2 linked regions of the Stegostoma tigrinum genome follow. The main gene of each other region encodes a partner of the protein of the gene in region 2 in a complex. Links are inferred from orthologs where the notes say so. Each region holds a gene or a part of one and is shown on either strand. Other genes may lie near its edges.

Region 1 (7,032 bases), on a different chromosome or scaffold from region 2:
CAAGGTACACCCATATATTTCCAGTATCCAGTAATTCATGTTAAATATTCCAGGCGTAACCTCATAAAATGCTTCCCATTCACCAGTTTGACTTGTTCACATGGCTGCGATCCTGTGGCTTCTCTGAATAACTGCAACTGCTGCCATATTTTGCATTGTCACCTGTTTGCAAACTGCACTCAACCCAACCCAACCTACCATTTCCTCAATAATGCACTTCAATATGGAGACTTTATACACCATACACAGAAAATTTATAACATCTCTCATTGTTTGGTCTTGAATCTGTCCTAGTTGGTGAAGGATTAGACTCTAACACACATGCTCAAATACTTTTTTGAAGCCCCGAATCTAGAAACCACAATTAAATAAATTTGTCAACAGACTTATTCCCTCAGTGCAAAGTTATTAACAATGTAGAATCTCACAGCACACGGAGACAATTCACCAAATCCGATTCGTACTGCTCCCCACTGTAATTAATTCTTTTCATGTATTCTAAATTCCCTTCAGAAAACACGCTGACACAGGCATGACGGGCCAAACAATCTCATGTGCTGTATCATTCTAGAAATTGATGAAGCTGCTTGTACCATTCTTTTTGAGCCCCCTTGACTGTGCAGATGAGGTCTTGATTTGACATATCTTCAGAAAGATGGTAGCTCCAAGTGTGTGGCACTGCTTTATTATTGTCACAGCCTAGATTCTGTGCTCAAGTCATGAACCCGAACTGAACGCCAGCCATTTGAAACTTACCATATAGGACTTCCAGAGACAACAAAACATTGCAATGTCCCAAGGAAATGAAAGAAATTTGTTTGCCTTTTTTTCTCCAAAGGTAGTGGAGTCAACACCAGCCTATCACCTCTGGCTGGAGGTATCAATGAATGGCAAACAGCAGTTGTTAGTGCAGCCTGTTGTGAATCCAAGGCTCTCCAAAGACGCTTCAAGTGACCCTTGCTCAGGACAGACCGAGAGGAGGGGCTTAGAGCCATCCTAAATTATTACTGATCCCAGTCATCCCAGAGATGATCCACTGGAGACTCCTGTTGCCAATAGTTTCTGTGGTTGGGGTTCATGAGCATGTTTTTCTGATGAAGGGTCTAGGCCCGAAACGTCAGCTTTTGTGCTCCTAAGATGCTGCGTGGCCTGCTGTGTTCACCCAGCCCCACGCTTCTATTCTTAGCTCCTGCCTTCGGAACCAGATCATCCCAATGGACTACAGCCCACATTCAAGCCTTCCCACATTTGGCCCCAACCGTGACAATGTCTACATTCAGAACATTGAGACCCTTAAGAAGTGTTTCTCCCTACGATTCCTGAAACATTTTCTGAAGGAAGGTCTAGACCCAAAACATCCACCTTCCTGCTCCTCTGACGTTGCTTGGCCTGCTGTGTTCATCCAGCTCTACACCTTGTTATCTCTATATTCAAGATCTGTCTGAAATGGGAAGGATCACAAGCAGGAATAGTCAACGAAGCTGACTAAGGCAGAGCGCGCTCAGAGAATTACTGTGAATAAGATGTTCGAGCTGAGACTGGGAGAGGGAACAAGGTATAGAGATGGACAAACACAGCAGGCCAGGCAGCATCAGAGGAGCAGGAAAGCTGATGTTTTGGGTCTGGACCCTTCTTCTGAAATCAATGAGGGTCCAAAGTTCAGAGATTGCAGATCATTAAATCATAGATCATAGAATTCCTCCAGTGTGGAAATTGACGCTTCAGCCCAACAAGTCCACATCAACCCTTGGAGCATCCCACCCAGATCCATCCCCCTATAACCCACACACCCCTGAACACTACAGACAATTTAGCACGGCCAATCTACCTAGCCTGCACATCTTTGGACTGTGGGAGGAAACCAGAGCACCCAGAGGAAACCCATACAGACACAGGGAAAATGTGCAAACTCCACACAGACAGTTGCCCGAGGCCGGAATCGAACCCAGGTCCCTGGCGCTGTGAGGCTGTAGTGCTAATCACTGAGCCACCCCCATATGGTGGTCATTTTCTCAAAAAGGGTCCAGCCCTGAAACGTCAGCTGTCCTGCTCCTCTGATGTTGCTTGGCCTGCTGTGTTCACCCAGCTCCACACCTTGTCGTCTCAGATTTTCCAGCATCTGCAGTTCCCACTGTCTCTGGGAGGGGAAAGATATGTTCGGGACTAAGTTAGAGAGGAATGGGTGACTCCCGACCTGAGTTGTACAGAATAGGGAAGGCAATTACAAAAAAACAGAGATAATGGGAACTGCAGATGCTGGAGATTCCAAGATAATAAAATGTGAGGCTGGATGAACACAGCAGGCCAAGCAGCATCCCAGGAGCACAAAAGCTGACGTTTCGGGCCTAGACCCTTCATCAGAGATGATATGCTCCAAGCCACAACGGGGAAAGGCCACCGTTTAAAGTATTTTTACCAAAGTCCATGGTGGGGTGGGGGTGGAAGGTCCATTCAGTTACTAGACCCTCTCGGTGTCTAAAACGTATGTGAATGTAAACCTGTACAAGTAAGAAGTGGTTTGGGGTTTTGATTTTGTGACTACGGGCAATGCCAAATTCCAGTGTTTGTTATTCGCGTGCAAGGCTGCGCAGAAATCCTTTCATAACCGTACGTGGAGTCATTTTTAATGAACGTGGAGTATTTCTGCAATAAAGTATAAGGACTGGGCCTGATTGGAGTCCCCTTCACTCCTGACACAATCCGAGCTGGGGTGGGGAGACACAATCCGAGCTGGGGTGGGGAGACACCCTCCTCAGGTTCCCTCCCTCACCGTCTCCCCCCACCCCACACAGGCCTGAGCCTCTCCGGCCGAGCCCCCCGGGGCGAGGAGAACTCACCATGGCTCCGCCGGGCAGGCCGCTCCGCTCGCAGTCTCGACGCCGGGCCCACAACCCGCTTCCGCTCCTCACAGACGTGGCAGCCCGGAACCTGTCCCGCTCCACAAACCGACCGACTCCCGCCGCCAATCGCAAACAAAGGTTCCGCATGGAGCCGCTGCACTGACACAGTTCACAGCGCCCTCAGCATCAGTATCGCCCTGAGCAGCACTAGTGCCCTGAGTATCAATGTCGCCCTGAACAGCAATAGTGCCCCAAGCATCAGTATCACCCTGAGCAACAATAGTGTCCTGAGTATCAATATCGCCCTGAGCATCAATAGTGCCCTGAGTATCAATAGTGCCCTGAGCATCAATACCACCCTAGGCATCAATACCATACTGAATATCAATAAAACCCTGCGTATCACCAGCACCCTGAGCATCACTAGCAACCTGAGCATCAATAGCACCCTGCGTATCACTAGCACCCTGAGTATCACTGGCATCTTGAGCATCAATAGTACTCTGAGCATCACTAACTGAGAGATCATATGAAAGCAGCAGAGAAACACACAGAGGCAGACATCTAGTGGGAATGACCACTGAGAGACCATATACGATCCAGCAGAGACACAGACAGACAGAGTGAACAACTGGGCATGATAAATGAGAGATATTAACACAATGACAAGAAATATGAGTAGCACTGGACTGACCTCAATAATCATTCTCAACAGACATCTCTCTCTGACAGTGTGTGCTGGATTCATATGATCCCTCAGTGATCTTTCCCAGTATATGTCTGTCTTTGTCTGCTGCATTAATATGATGTCAGTGGGATTTCCCAGTAGATTTACAATCATAGAAGAATCATACAATCCCTATGATGCACAAAAAGGCTGTCCAGCCCATTGAATGTACACCAATCCTCAGAAGAACATCCCACCCAAACACAGGACCCTGACCCATCCCCATGACCTTGTATTTAGCATGGCTGATCAACATAAACTGTACATCTTTGCACTGAAAGGAAACTGGAGCACCTGATGGAAACTCACATAGACATGGGGAGAATTTGCAAACCACACTGTCACCGAATGCTGGGATTGAACCTGAGTCCCTGGTGCTGTGAGGCAGCAGTGCTAACCACCTACCAAGCCATTGTGCTGCCCCAAGATTTCTGTAGCTGCTGGCTTAATATTATTTCTCATTGATTATTCCTAATAGAGCTCTTCCATTGTCTGGGTTTTCAGGTTACTATGATCTCTCAGGGCTCATTGACAGCGGATTGCTTTGTCTGAATCTGCTGGGTTAATATGATCTCTCGGTTATCATTCCCAGTAGATCTCTTTCTTTATCTGCATTCATTGGTTTAATGTGATCCCTCAGTGATCATTTCCAGTATACCATCCCTCCAAATTTGCTGGGCTATTATGATCTCTCAGCAATCATTGTGTGTAGATCTCCAGCTCTGTCTGTTCTCGGTTGATATGAGTTATCAATGATCATTCCCAGTACATCTCCCCCTCCATGTCTGCTAAGATAATATGATCTCCCAGTCATCATTGCCAGTTGATCCCTCCCTCTGTCTGCATCTCTGCTGGGTTAATATGAGCTCTCAGTGAACATTCCCACTAGATCTCTGACCCTGCCTGTGTCTATTCTGGGTTAATATGATCCCTCACTGATAATCCCCAATTGATCTCTTTGTCTGTATTTGCTGAGTTAATATGAGCTCTCAGTGATCATTCCCAGTGGATTTCTCCCTCTGCCTTATGTGTTAATGTGATCCCCTCAGTGATCAGTCCCAATAGATCTGTCTCTGCTGGGTCAATATGATCTCTCAATGATCGGTCCCAGTAGATCTGCCTCTGCTGGGTAAAACCCAGTGATCAACCCCAGTGGAGCTCTCCCTCGGCCAATGTCTGTTAGATTAATATGATCTCTTAGTGATCGCTCCCAGTACATCTCTCCCTCAACTAGTGTCTTCTGGGTTAATATTATCCCTCAATGATCATTCCCAGCAGATCCCTAACTCTGTCTGTGTCTAATCTGAGTTAATATGATCCCTGAGTGATCAGTCCCAGTAGATCTGTCTCTGCTGGGCTAATATGATCTCTCAGTGATCATTGTGTGTAGATCTCTAGCTCTGTCTGTGTCTCTTTTTGGTTGATATTATTTATCAATGATCAGTCCCAGTACTTCTTTTCCCTCCATGTCTGCTGGGATATGATCCTCAAGTCATCATTGCCAGTAGATCTCTCCCTCTGCCTGTGCCTGATGGATGGGTATGATCCCTCAGTGATCAGTCCCAGTAGATTCTCTTCCTGTCTATGCCTGTAGTGTTAATATGATCCCTCAGTGATCAGTCCCAGTAGATCTCTCCCTGCCTGCTCCTGAAGTGTTAATATGATCCCTCAGTGATCAGTCCCAGTAGATTCTCTTCCTGTCTGTGCCTGTAGTGTTAATATGAACCCTCAGTGATCAGTCCCAGTAGATCTCTCCCTGCCTGCTCCTGAAGTGTTAATATGAACCCTCAGTGATCAGTCCCAGTAGATCTCTCCCTGCCTGCTCCTGAAGTGTTAATATGAACCCTCAGTGATCAGTCCCAGTAGATCTCTCCCTGCCTGCTCCTGAAGTGTTAATATGATCCCTCAGTGATCAGTCCCAGTAGATCTCTCCCTGCCTGCTCCTGAAGTGTTAATATGAACCCTCAGTGATCAGTCCCAGTAGATCTCTCCCTGCCTGCTCCTGAAGTGTTAATATGATCCCTCAGTGATCATTCCCAGTAGACCTCCACCTCCCTGAGTCTCCCCCTCACAGAGGGATTCTCTGGTAGATACCACTCGACAGACCGAGGGGGAGGGAGAAACGTCATTACGTTCCCCTCTGCTTCCCTGTCTCGCCCTCCCCCCCCAGGGGCTGGCGGAGATGGTTTGTGCCCGTGACCTGTGACCCGGTTTAGGGGCGGGGCGGCTGCCGGCGCCATCTTTTCCCATGGACGGTCCTCGAGGGGGCGTCAGCAGCAGTTTCTTGTTGTTGTTTCAGAGAGGGACGCACTGAGGGGGGGGGAAAAAAAGCTCGGTGCCTGCAGCTCACGCACTGCCCGCCATGGCCAATGTGTCCTATCACATCTCCAACTTGCTGGAGAAAATGACCTCCAGCGACAAGGACTTCAGGTAGGCCCCGTCCCCTCCCCCTCCTCCTTTAAACACTCTGTTATACTGGGGCAGCAAGATCCACCCCATTCCCTTACACTGGGGCAGCACGACCCCAATCCCAGCTGACAGTCTGCCCCTCCCCCACCCCATTCCCCTACACTGGGGCAGCACGACCCCAATCACAGCTGACAGTCTCTTCCCCCCCCCCCCCCCCACCCCATTCCCTTACACTGGGGCAGCACGACCCCAATCACAGCTGACAGTCTCTTCCCCCCCCCCCACCCCATTCCCCTACACTGGGGCAGCACGACCCCAATCCCAGCTGACAGTCTGCCCCCCCCCCCACCCCATTCCCCTACACTGGGGCAGCTCGACCCCAATCCCAGCTGACAGTCTGCCCCCCCCCACCCCATTCCCCTACACTGGGGCAGCACGACCCCAATCACAGCTGACAGTCTCTCTCTCCCCCCCCCCCCCCCACCCCATTCCCCTACACTGGGGCAGCACGACCCCAATCACAGCTGACAGTCTCTTCCCCCCCCACCCCATTCCCCTACACTGGGGCAGCAAGATCCCAATTCCAGCTGACAGTCCCCTCACATTCAGACTGGGGCAGCAAGATCCCAATTCCAGCTGACAGTCCCCTCACATTCAGACTGGGCAGCAAGATCCCAATTCAGTCACATCCAATAGGCATCACTCTGGTTGTTACAGCATATGTTTAGCAATGCAGTTGTGTGTCAGCTTGGAGTATGCATACAAGTTAAAGGAACAGGATGGGAACCCACAACATTTGACTTGAAGGCAAGAATGGTGTCAAGCTGATGACTTAACTCTTTGATCTCGAGTTTTTTTTCAGTTAGGAGTAAATTACTGTGGATGCTGGAATCTACTGAAACCAACAAATGCTGCAGATCACAGCAGTCAGGCAGTATCCATGGAAAGAGAGAGAGAACGAGCTAATGTTTTGCGTCTAGGTGATTTTTCAGAGCTGACATGAAGTGTGAAGGGGGCAGTGTTTATGCTGTTGTGGGGGGAGGGCAGGGATGGTAT
Region 2 (7,765 bases):
CAAATATTTGGGTTAATTCGATCACTTTGTATTTAAAAGGCAGCATGGAACATTGTTATAATACTAGTTGATCGTGTACTGGAAATGTCAGATCCCAGAATGAGTCAGCTCCCAGAATGATACTTGATTTGAAAGACCATAAATTTTACTTCTCCTTTTATTTGCCGTGGAGATTAGTCATCGAGGCATACAGCATGGAAACTTACACGTCAGTCCAACTTGTCAACGCTAACCATGTCCCCAATCTAAAATAGTCCCACTTGCCTATGTTTGGCTGATAATCCCTTGAAACTTGCCTGTTCACGTACTTATCTAAATGTCTTTTAAATATTATAACTCTACCTGCATCCACTATTTCCTCTGGCCATTCCACACACAAACCACTCTCCATGTAAAAATGCTGCTCCTCATGTCTTTTTTTAAACTTTCTCCTCTCACCTTAAAAATATGCCTCTGAGTTTTGAATTACTCCACCCTCAGGAAATGACCCTTGCTATTCACCTTACCTATGCCTCTCACGATTTTATAAACCTCTATAACATCACCCATCAACCTCCTGCACTCACATGGAAAAAGTCCCAACCTAGCCAGCCCTTTATTTTTTATCAGTGAAACCCTTCATTTCTGGCAACATCCTGGTAAATCTTTCCTAAACACCCTCTGATTGCCTAATATCTTTCCTATAGGAGGATGACCAGGACTGTAAATTGTACACCAGAAGAGGCCTTACCCACATCCTGTACAACCTCAACATGATGTCCCAACTCCTATACTCAAAGGTCTGAGCAGTGAAGGCAAGCATGCTAAATGCTTTCTTAGCTACCCTGTCTACCCGTGATGCAAATTTCAAAGAATGATATACCTGCACTCCTAGGTCTCTCTGTTCTGCAACACTACTCCGGGCCCTACCATTAATTGTATAAGTCCTTTCCTTGTTGTTTTACCAAAATGTAACACCTCACGTTTATCCAAATTAAACTCCATCTTCCACTCCTCATCCCAAGACTCAATTGATCAAGATCTCTTTGTAATCTTTAATAACTTTCTTCACTGTCCACAATACCATCAATTTTGGTGCCATTCGCAAACTTACTAACTATGCTTCCCGTATTCTTATCCAAATTGCTTATATAAATGATGAACAAACCAGCTATTAGGGGTAGCACAGTGGTTCAGTGGTTAGCACTGCTGCCTCACAGCATCAGGGTCCCAGGTTCAATTCTAACCTCAGGCAACTGTCTGTGTGACGTTTGCACATTCTCCCCATATTAGTCTGGGTTTCCTCCCACAGTCCAAAGATGTGCAGGCTAGATGGACTGGCCATGCTAAATTGCCCATAGTGTTCAGGGGTGTTTATTTAGGAGGGTGGGTTGAATGGGATGCTCTGAGAGTCAGTGTGGGCTTGTTGGGCTGAAGGGACTGAATTATAAGTGTTAACTCACAGGGACTTGGGAAAAAAAACCTGACAGTGTTTCCTTATTCCAACCATCGGCCACATCCAGCTTTCCTGCTCCTCTGATGCTGCTTGGCCTGCTGTGTTCATCCAGCTCTGCACCTCGTTATCTCAGATTCTCCAGCATTTGCAGTTCCTACTATCTAGGAATAGGGTACTGAGTTGGATGATCAGCATAATCATAGTGATTGGTGGAGCAGGCTCAAAGGATCAAATGGCCCACTCCTATTCCTGTATTCTATGTTTCCATGCAAACGTTTCATTATTCACCGGGTATCTGATGAAGGCGTTTAACTCAAACCACATGATTTGCTTGAACTGATGTGTTTCGTTCACTGGTCCAAATGACTTAGTGACTTCTTTTAAAATAAGTAACTTAACAGAACTGAAAACACAAATCTATTTTATCATAAGTGACCATACAAAAATGGTCAGTTTCAGAGTAAAGTGATAAGATATACTATCACACACTGCTTTCGAAAGTTTCAGAAAGCTTTTATCTTTAGACAGTGAGTATTTGAGCCAGAATTTGTCTGTCAATGGAAAACATGTAACTGGAAATATTAATCTGAAGATGTCAGATGAATCCTTACTGCCTTCCTTCAACTCACATGAGAAGGTTCAAAGTTAATCAGATTCTCAAAATGTTGCTTATTTTCATCTTAAGTTTACTTGATGAAATTACGTCCACATGGCAGCATTTATACCTTTGCGGTACACCACTGAATAACTTTGTCAAAACCTCGTCTCAGTCAGCAAAGCCAGACACAATTAATTGTCATAAAATTAAACAATAAAAAAGATAAAGTTGCCATAGTCACAGCAGATCATACGGTTACTTTCTCACAAGAGAGAGATGATTGGTGATGGTTTAACCTGATTCTCACCATGCCTAAATATTGTCTAAACCTTGTCTGTTTTAAGCAGAACAATCGCATCCCCACCCTTGTCTGCCTTCCGGAGGGACCAATCTCTCCGTGACTCCCTTGTCCGCTCCACACTGCCCTCCAACCCCACCACACCCGGCACTTTCCGTGCAACCGCAGGAAATGCTACACTTGCCGCCACACCTCCTCCCTCACCCCCATCCCAGGCACCAAGAAGACATTCCACATCAAGCAGATGTTCACCTGCACATCCGCCAATGTGGTGTATTGTATCCCCTGTACCCGGTGTGGCTTCCACTACATTGGAGAAACCAAGCAGAGGGTTGGGGACCGCTTTGCAGAACACCTCCGCTCGGTTCGCATTAAACAACTGCACCTCCCAGTGGCGAACCACTTTAACTCTACCTCCCATTCCTTAGTTGACATGTTCATCCTGGGCCTCCTGCAGTTCCATAATGATGCCACCCGTAGGTTGCAGGAACAGCAACTCATATTCCGCTTGGGAACCCTGCAGCCCAATGGTATCAATGTGGATTTCACAAGCTTCAAAATCTCCCCTCCTTGCACTGCATCCCAAAACCAGCCCAGCTCGTCCCCGCCTCCCTAACCTGTCCTTTCTCTCATCTATCCCTTCCTCTCACCTCAAGCCACACCTCCATTTCCTACCTACTAGCCTCATTCCGCCCCTTTGACCTGTCTGTCCTCCCCGGACTGACCTATCTCCTCCCTACCTCCCCACCTATACTCTCCTCTCCACCTATCTTATCCTCTATCCATCTTCGGTCCGCCTCCCCCCTCCCTATTTTTTTCGGAATCCTCTCCCCATCCCCTTTTTCTAATGAAGGGTCTAGGCCCGAAACATCAGCTTTTGTGCTCCTAAGATGCTGCTTGGCCTGCTGTGTTCATCCAGCTCCACACCTTATTATCTCAGATTCTCCAGCATCTGCAGTTCCCATTATCTCTGAGAACAATCATCTCGCTGGTTTACCACAAAACTGAGGTTGATCATCCCTGCACTTACACTGTTCCTTCCTGATTTTGTCAGGTGTCCATTAAGCTAATTGAGATTTTTGACCTGGATACAATGCACCATTCCAATAATGATAAAACATTTCTCGTCATTTAATTTAAACTTATTACTTGTTAGGTGCTGTAATGGCAATCCTCTTCGAGCTTTGTCTTTGGACATTCTTTCCTCTCTTTATAATTGTCACTGCTCCACTCACTCCTGCTTCTATTCACCTGAGCCTCATTCTCGTCTGTCCTTTTTTGATGCTTGCGACATTGTGCTGAGCAGCCAAAGCAGCCCTGTTTCTTGCAGAGTATTTCTGGTCTCTTTCTTTGTTTGGTGATTAGGATTGTATTTGTTTGGGTCCAAAAGATTACAGAATTGAAAGAGGTCTTTCAGCCCATCATGTCCATGGTGGCTTTTGAAGCCAAAATTCATCTGCCAATCCTCTGTCTTGCATGTTATTTTTCAGACATAATCAAATTCCATCTTGAGTAACTTAATTGAATCTTTCTCCACCACAATCTAAGGTAATGCTTTCCAAATCGTAATCACGCGAAAAACTTTCCTCATGTTGCCATTTCTTCTTTTGTCAAATACCTAAAATCTCTTTCGTTGTTGAATATCTAAATAATACATTCCCTCTCGATTTTCTCTTCAAGGAGTCCCAACTTCCCCAATCTGACACCAGAACAAGAACTCTTACAAACAAGATCTGAAGTAGAAGCCTGATGTGCAGAGATTTGTCCATTGTTTGCCCTGCCCTCACCTACGAATTGATAAATTCTGCTGACGTTGGAACAGTCTACTATTACAGCAATGTGATTTTTTGGAAATAAACTGGTAGATACTGGCAGAAACAAAATAACTCGGTTAACAGGTCACAATTGTTCATCCAGCTCCACACTTTTGTAATCTACAATTGTTTTTGAGTCTTGTCGAATCTTGTTGAACAGTAGGAATGGAGAACAGGTAACAGTCAAGCAAAACACCCAAACACATACCACCACTGCGAACATCTCAGCACAGTGGCGCTCAAGGCGAGCATTCTCAATTTACCACGTCTGTTGCGGATGTTGTCAGCCGATACTGTCATATCGGTGCACAACAGGGATAATGATTATTATGTAAATAGCTGGGCATGCTTAAAGTTTGCAATGCTAATAATATAGCTTTGTTTCCTTTGTCTGTATTGCATTTAACACCTCAGAGGAAAAAATGGAGGTGAAAATATTCAGACTGGGTAGAGGATAAATGTTTAATTGAAGAGTAAGATCTTCAGACACTGTCAACGATTCATCATTGCCACCAGTACGAGATGAATCCACAGAACACACAGCACTGACACACCGCTCTCTGCTTCCGGGAAGGACCAGGCCCGGGCGGCGGGGCACGCAGGTCTGCGTCGGACGTCCTGTGCAACGTGATGACGTAGTTTGTTGTTGTTGGTGCCCTGCTCCGTTCCTGACATGGCGGCTCGCTGGAGCAGTGAGAATGTGGTGGTGGAGGTCAGGGACTCGCAGGTAACAACTTTGACCGGCAGCCGCGCCGCTGCCCGGGGCTCGGGGACCGATTTTGGCTCGCGCTGTCGTCGACTGGTTGCCGGAGTCTGAGGATTTGTCTTTGGCGGGGGCCTAAGCAACGTGAGCGCGCCTGCGCAGGACCAACGCGCATCCTCCCCTGACTATAATCCTCTTACCTTAAAATAGAAACAGAAGGTGTTGGAGAAACTTCGCAGGCTTGGCACCATGTGTGGAGAGAGAGAGAGAGAGAGAAACAATTCATGTTTCGTGTCAAAATGACTCTCTGGCCTTCTCTCATCGCCACTTAATTTCAAACTGTTCAAATAGTGCCTAGTGCACTTCTACTTTAGTTAAGATCTGAAACCTGGCTATTGAAGCTATTCTTGTTCGCGGTCCATTGATTAAAAATATCTGTAAATGTATTCAGACAGGTTTTGACACGAGGCTGGTTTCGTTAGAGAGAAGAAGGTTGAGAGGTGACTTAATTGAAACATATAAAATAATCAGAGGGTTAGCTAGGGTGGATAGGGAGAGCCTTCTTCCTAGGATGGTGACGGCGAGCACGAGGGGGCATAGCTTTAAATTGAGGGGTGAAAGATATAGGACAGATGTCAGAGCTAGTTTCTTTACTCAGAGAGTAATAAGGGAATGGAACGCTTTGCCTGCAACGGTAGTAGATTTGTCAACTTTAGGTACATTTAAGTCATCATTGGACAAGCATATGGACGTACATGGAATAGTATAGGTTAGATGGGCTTGAGATCGGTATGACAGGTCGGCACAACGTCGAAGGCCGAAGGGCCTGTACTGTGCTGTAATGCTCTATGTTCTATCTCTGGAGCCTGTGGGAATTAACTCAGGTCTTTTGGCCCATAGTTACGACACTACTACTCCGCCACAGGAGCTCTTACTAACCCCATTAAGTACTGAAGGACTTGTTCCGTTGCTGACTTGTTCCAGTAGGCAACCTCTTGTGCTCATGTTTCCAACATTGTTTGGAAGATAAGGAGGATTGATCTGTGACTTCGTTGTGCATACTGTTTGAGAAAATGTTATGGAGTGTGCAAGCTGTTTCAGTAAGGGGCCAGATAAGGGAGGACGCAGAAAATTTAAAAAAAAGGTTAATAGGCTGAGAGCACAGAATGGTTATAGCACCAAAAGAGACCACTTTTGTGCCCATGCCAGCTGCAAGAGCAACTGATCCAGTCCCACTCCCTTGCCTTTTCACTGTAGCCCTGTATTTTTTTTCTTGGGGGAAATGTACAGTTCCCTTTGAAAGCCATGATGGAATCTGCTTCCAGTGCATTCCAGATCCTAACCACTCGCTGCATAAAGTGGTTTTCTTTCAATGCACTTTGGTTTTTCAGAAATTAAAAGTGATGATGAGTCAGAGAGCAATGAGAAAAAAGGAATGTAATGACACTATATGATTTTAAAATTCTCCATCAACTCCTGTCTCAAACTTCTCTTCCTAAAGGTGAAAGAACACAACTTCTCCATCTATCCACAAATCTGAACTTGAACCCTGGAAATATATTTGTACACCATCTGGAATACCATAATGTCCTTTCTAAAGGGTTACAGTTAAGAAACAATGGAGATGTCCTTACCAGACTAGACATATTCTGTAGGCCACCAACTTGTGGAAAAGATAGAAAGGAGCAGATTTACAAGGGAGTCAGAGAGATATAAGAATTAGACAGTTGTTATGATGAGGGGCTTGAATTATCTAAATACAAGTTAGCATAAGAGTGTAAAAGGAAGTGAGGGGCAAGAGTCTTAAATGTTCAGGAATGTTTTGATGAGACTTATGGCTCTGGTCCGTGGAGGAAAGAAGCACTGTTCGGCCTCGTAGTTCTTGGAAATAAAGTAAGCCAAATGGATCAAGTTGGGGAATATTTTGAGGGCAGTGATCATTGTATCATAAGATTTAGGGTGGCTATGGAGAAGAACAAGGAAGAAACCAGAGTAAGAATCGATAACCAGAGGAAAAACAATTTTCATGGATTTAGAATGGAGCAAAGGTATGCGGACAATCCTGTTACTGAATCAGGGGCTCCCTTTAAAGAAAAGCGAACACCAACAAGGTAGATTCTTATGAAGGGGAAAAGTTAAAACAAACAAATCTAAAGCGCCCAGATGAAGGATTAAGAGGAAAAAGAAGTGTGGTCTTGATAAGTGTCAGGTGGTTAAAGAATTAACAATTAGGCTGAAATTAGAAAGTTTAGAGGAGAAATCCAGAAGCAAATCAAAAGTAATCTAAAAGACACAAAGATAGAAGTTGCTGGAAAAGCTCAGCAGGTCTGGCAGCATCTGTGAAGAATGCTGCCAGACTTTTGCTAAACTTTTCCAGCAATTTCTGTTTTTGTTCCTGATTTACAGCATCCACAGTTCTTTCGGTAATCCAAAAGACCTCTAGGCCTATTTATAGATAGAAGTTTGGTGAAATGAGTGATTAGTTGATTAGGATTTAGAGGGCACTGATTTAATGTAATTAGCAAAAGCAGCAATGGCAAAACAAGGAAAATCTTTTTAATGTGGTTAGGATCTGGAATTCTTCCCAGAAAGTGTAATGGGGTCAGGTTTGATCAAGGCATTCAAGAGGAAAACAGAATACTATCAGCAAAGGAGGTACATGCAGCACTATGGAAAGATGGCTGGGAAGTGGGACAATCTGTATTCTCCCATCAAACAGCCAGCGCAGAGGGCCAAATGGTCTTATTCAATCACCATTTTGATTATGGTCATTGGAGAAACAGGTATTCTCCTTTTGAGAAGATAAGGTTGGAGAGTTTCGGCTATGAAGAGAGGTTAGATAAACTGGATAAATTGTTTTCTGCTGGATTTATGGGGAAATACCTCATTGGGGTCAAAAAATTATTAGGGGCATAGA

Evidence for each region. The genes of interacting proteins can lie anywhere in the genome.
Region 1: the proteins of wdr59 (region 2) and sec13 are in contact, whole or in part, in a cryo-EM structure (PDB 7UHY), measured with the Homo sapiens proteins. The link is inferred for Stegostoma tigrinum from reciprocal best matches to the Homo sapiens genes WDR59 and SEC13. Residues at the interface, in NP_085058.3 of Homo sapiens: Ala525, Tyr526, Gly527, Asp531, Ala532, Asn533, Ile534, Pro535, Phe536, Pro537, Arg538, Thr539, Ser540, Gly541, Ala542, Arg543, Phe544, Cys545, Gly546, Ala547, Tyr549, Val551, Phe553, Thr554, Arg555, Met557, Ala644, Gly645, Lys646, Val647; in NP_899195.1 of Homo sapiens: Val4, Ile5, Asn6, Thr7, Val8, Asp9, Thr10, His12, Asp14, Met15, Ile16, His17, Asp18, Ala19, Gln20, Met21, Asp22, Tyr23, Tyr24, Gly25, Leu28, Val42, Pro59, Trp61, Gln62, His67, Pro68, Tyr79, Ser105, Asn107.

The regions. Positions count from the first base shown.
Region 1 is NC_081364.1:60,402,325-60,409,356, reverse strand, and holds the start of sec13 (protein SEC13 homolog), read right to left. Parts: upstream 3,011-7,032; 5' UTR 2,988-3,010; coding exon 2,838-2,987; intron 1-2,837. Other genes in the region: cullin-associated NEDD8-dissociated protein 1-like, read left to right, coding at 5,930-5,997. UniProt on the Homo sapiens protein: Functions as a component of the nuclear pore complex (NPC) and the COPII coat. At the endoplasmic reticulum, SEC13 is involved in the biogenesis of COPII-coated vesicles.
Region 2 is NC_081369.1:11,740,239-11,748,003, reverse strand, and holds the start of wdr59 (GATOR complex protein WDR59), read left to right. Parts: upstream 1-4,762; 5' UTR 4,763-4,818; coding exon 4,819-4,872; intron 4,873-7,765. Other genes in the region: mixed lineage kinase domain-like protein, read right to left, coding at 3,481-3,529. UniProt on the Homo sapiens protein: As a component of the GATOR2 complex, functions as an activator of the amino acid-sensing branch of the mTORC1 signaling pathway. The GATOR2 complex indirectly activates mTORC1 through the inhibition of the GATOR1 subcomplex.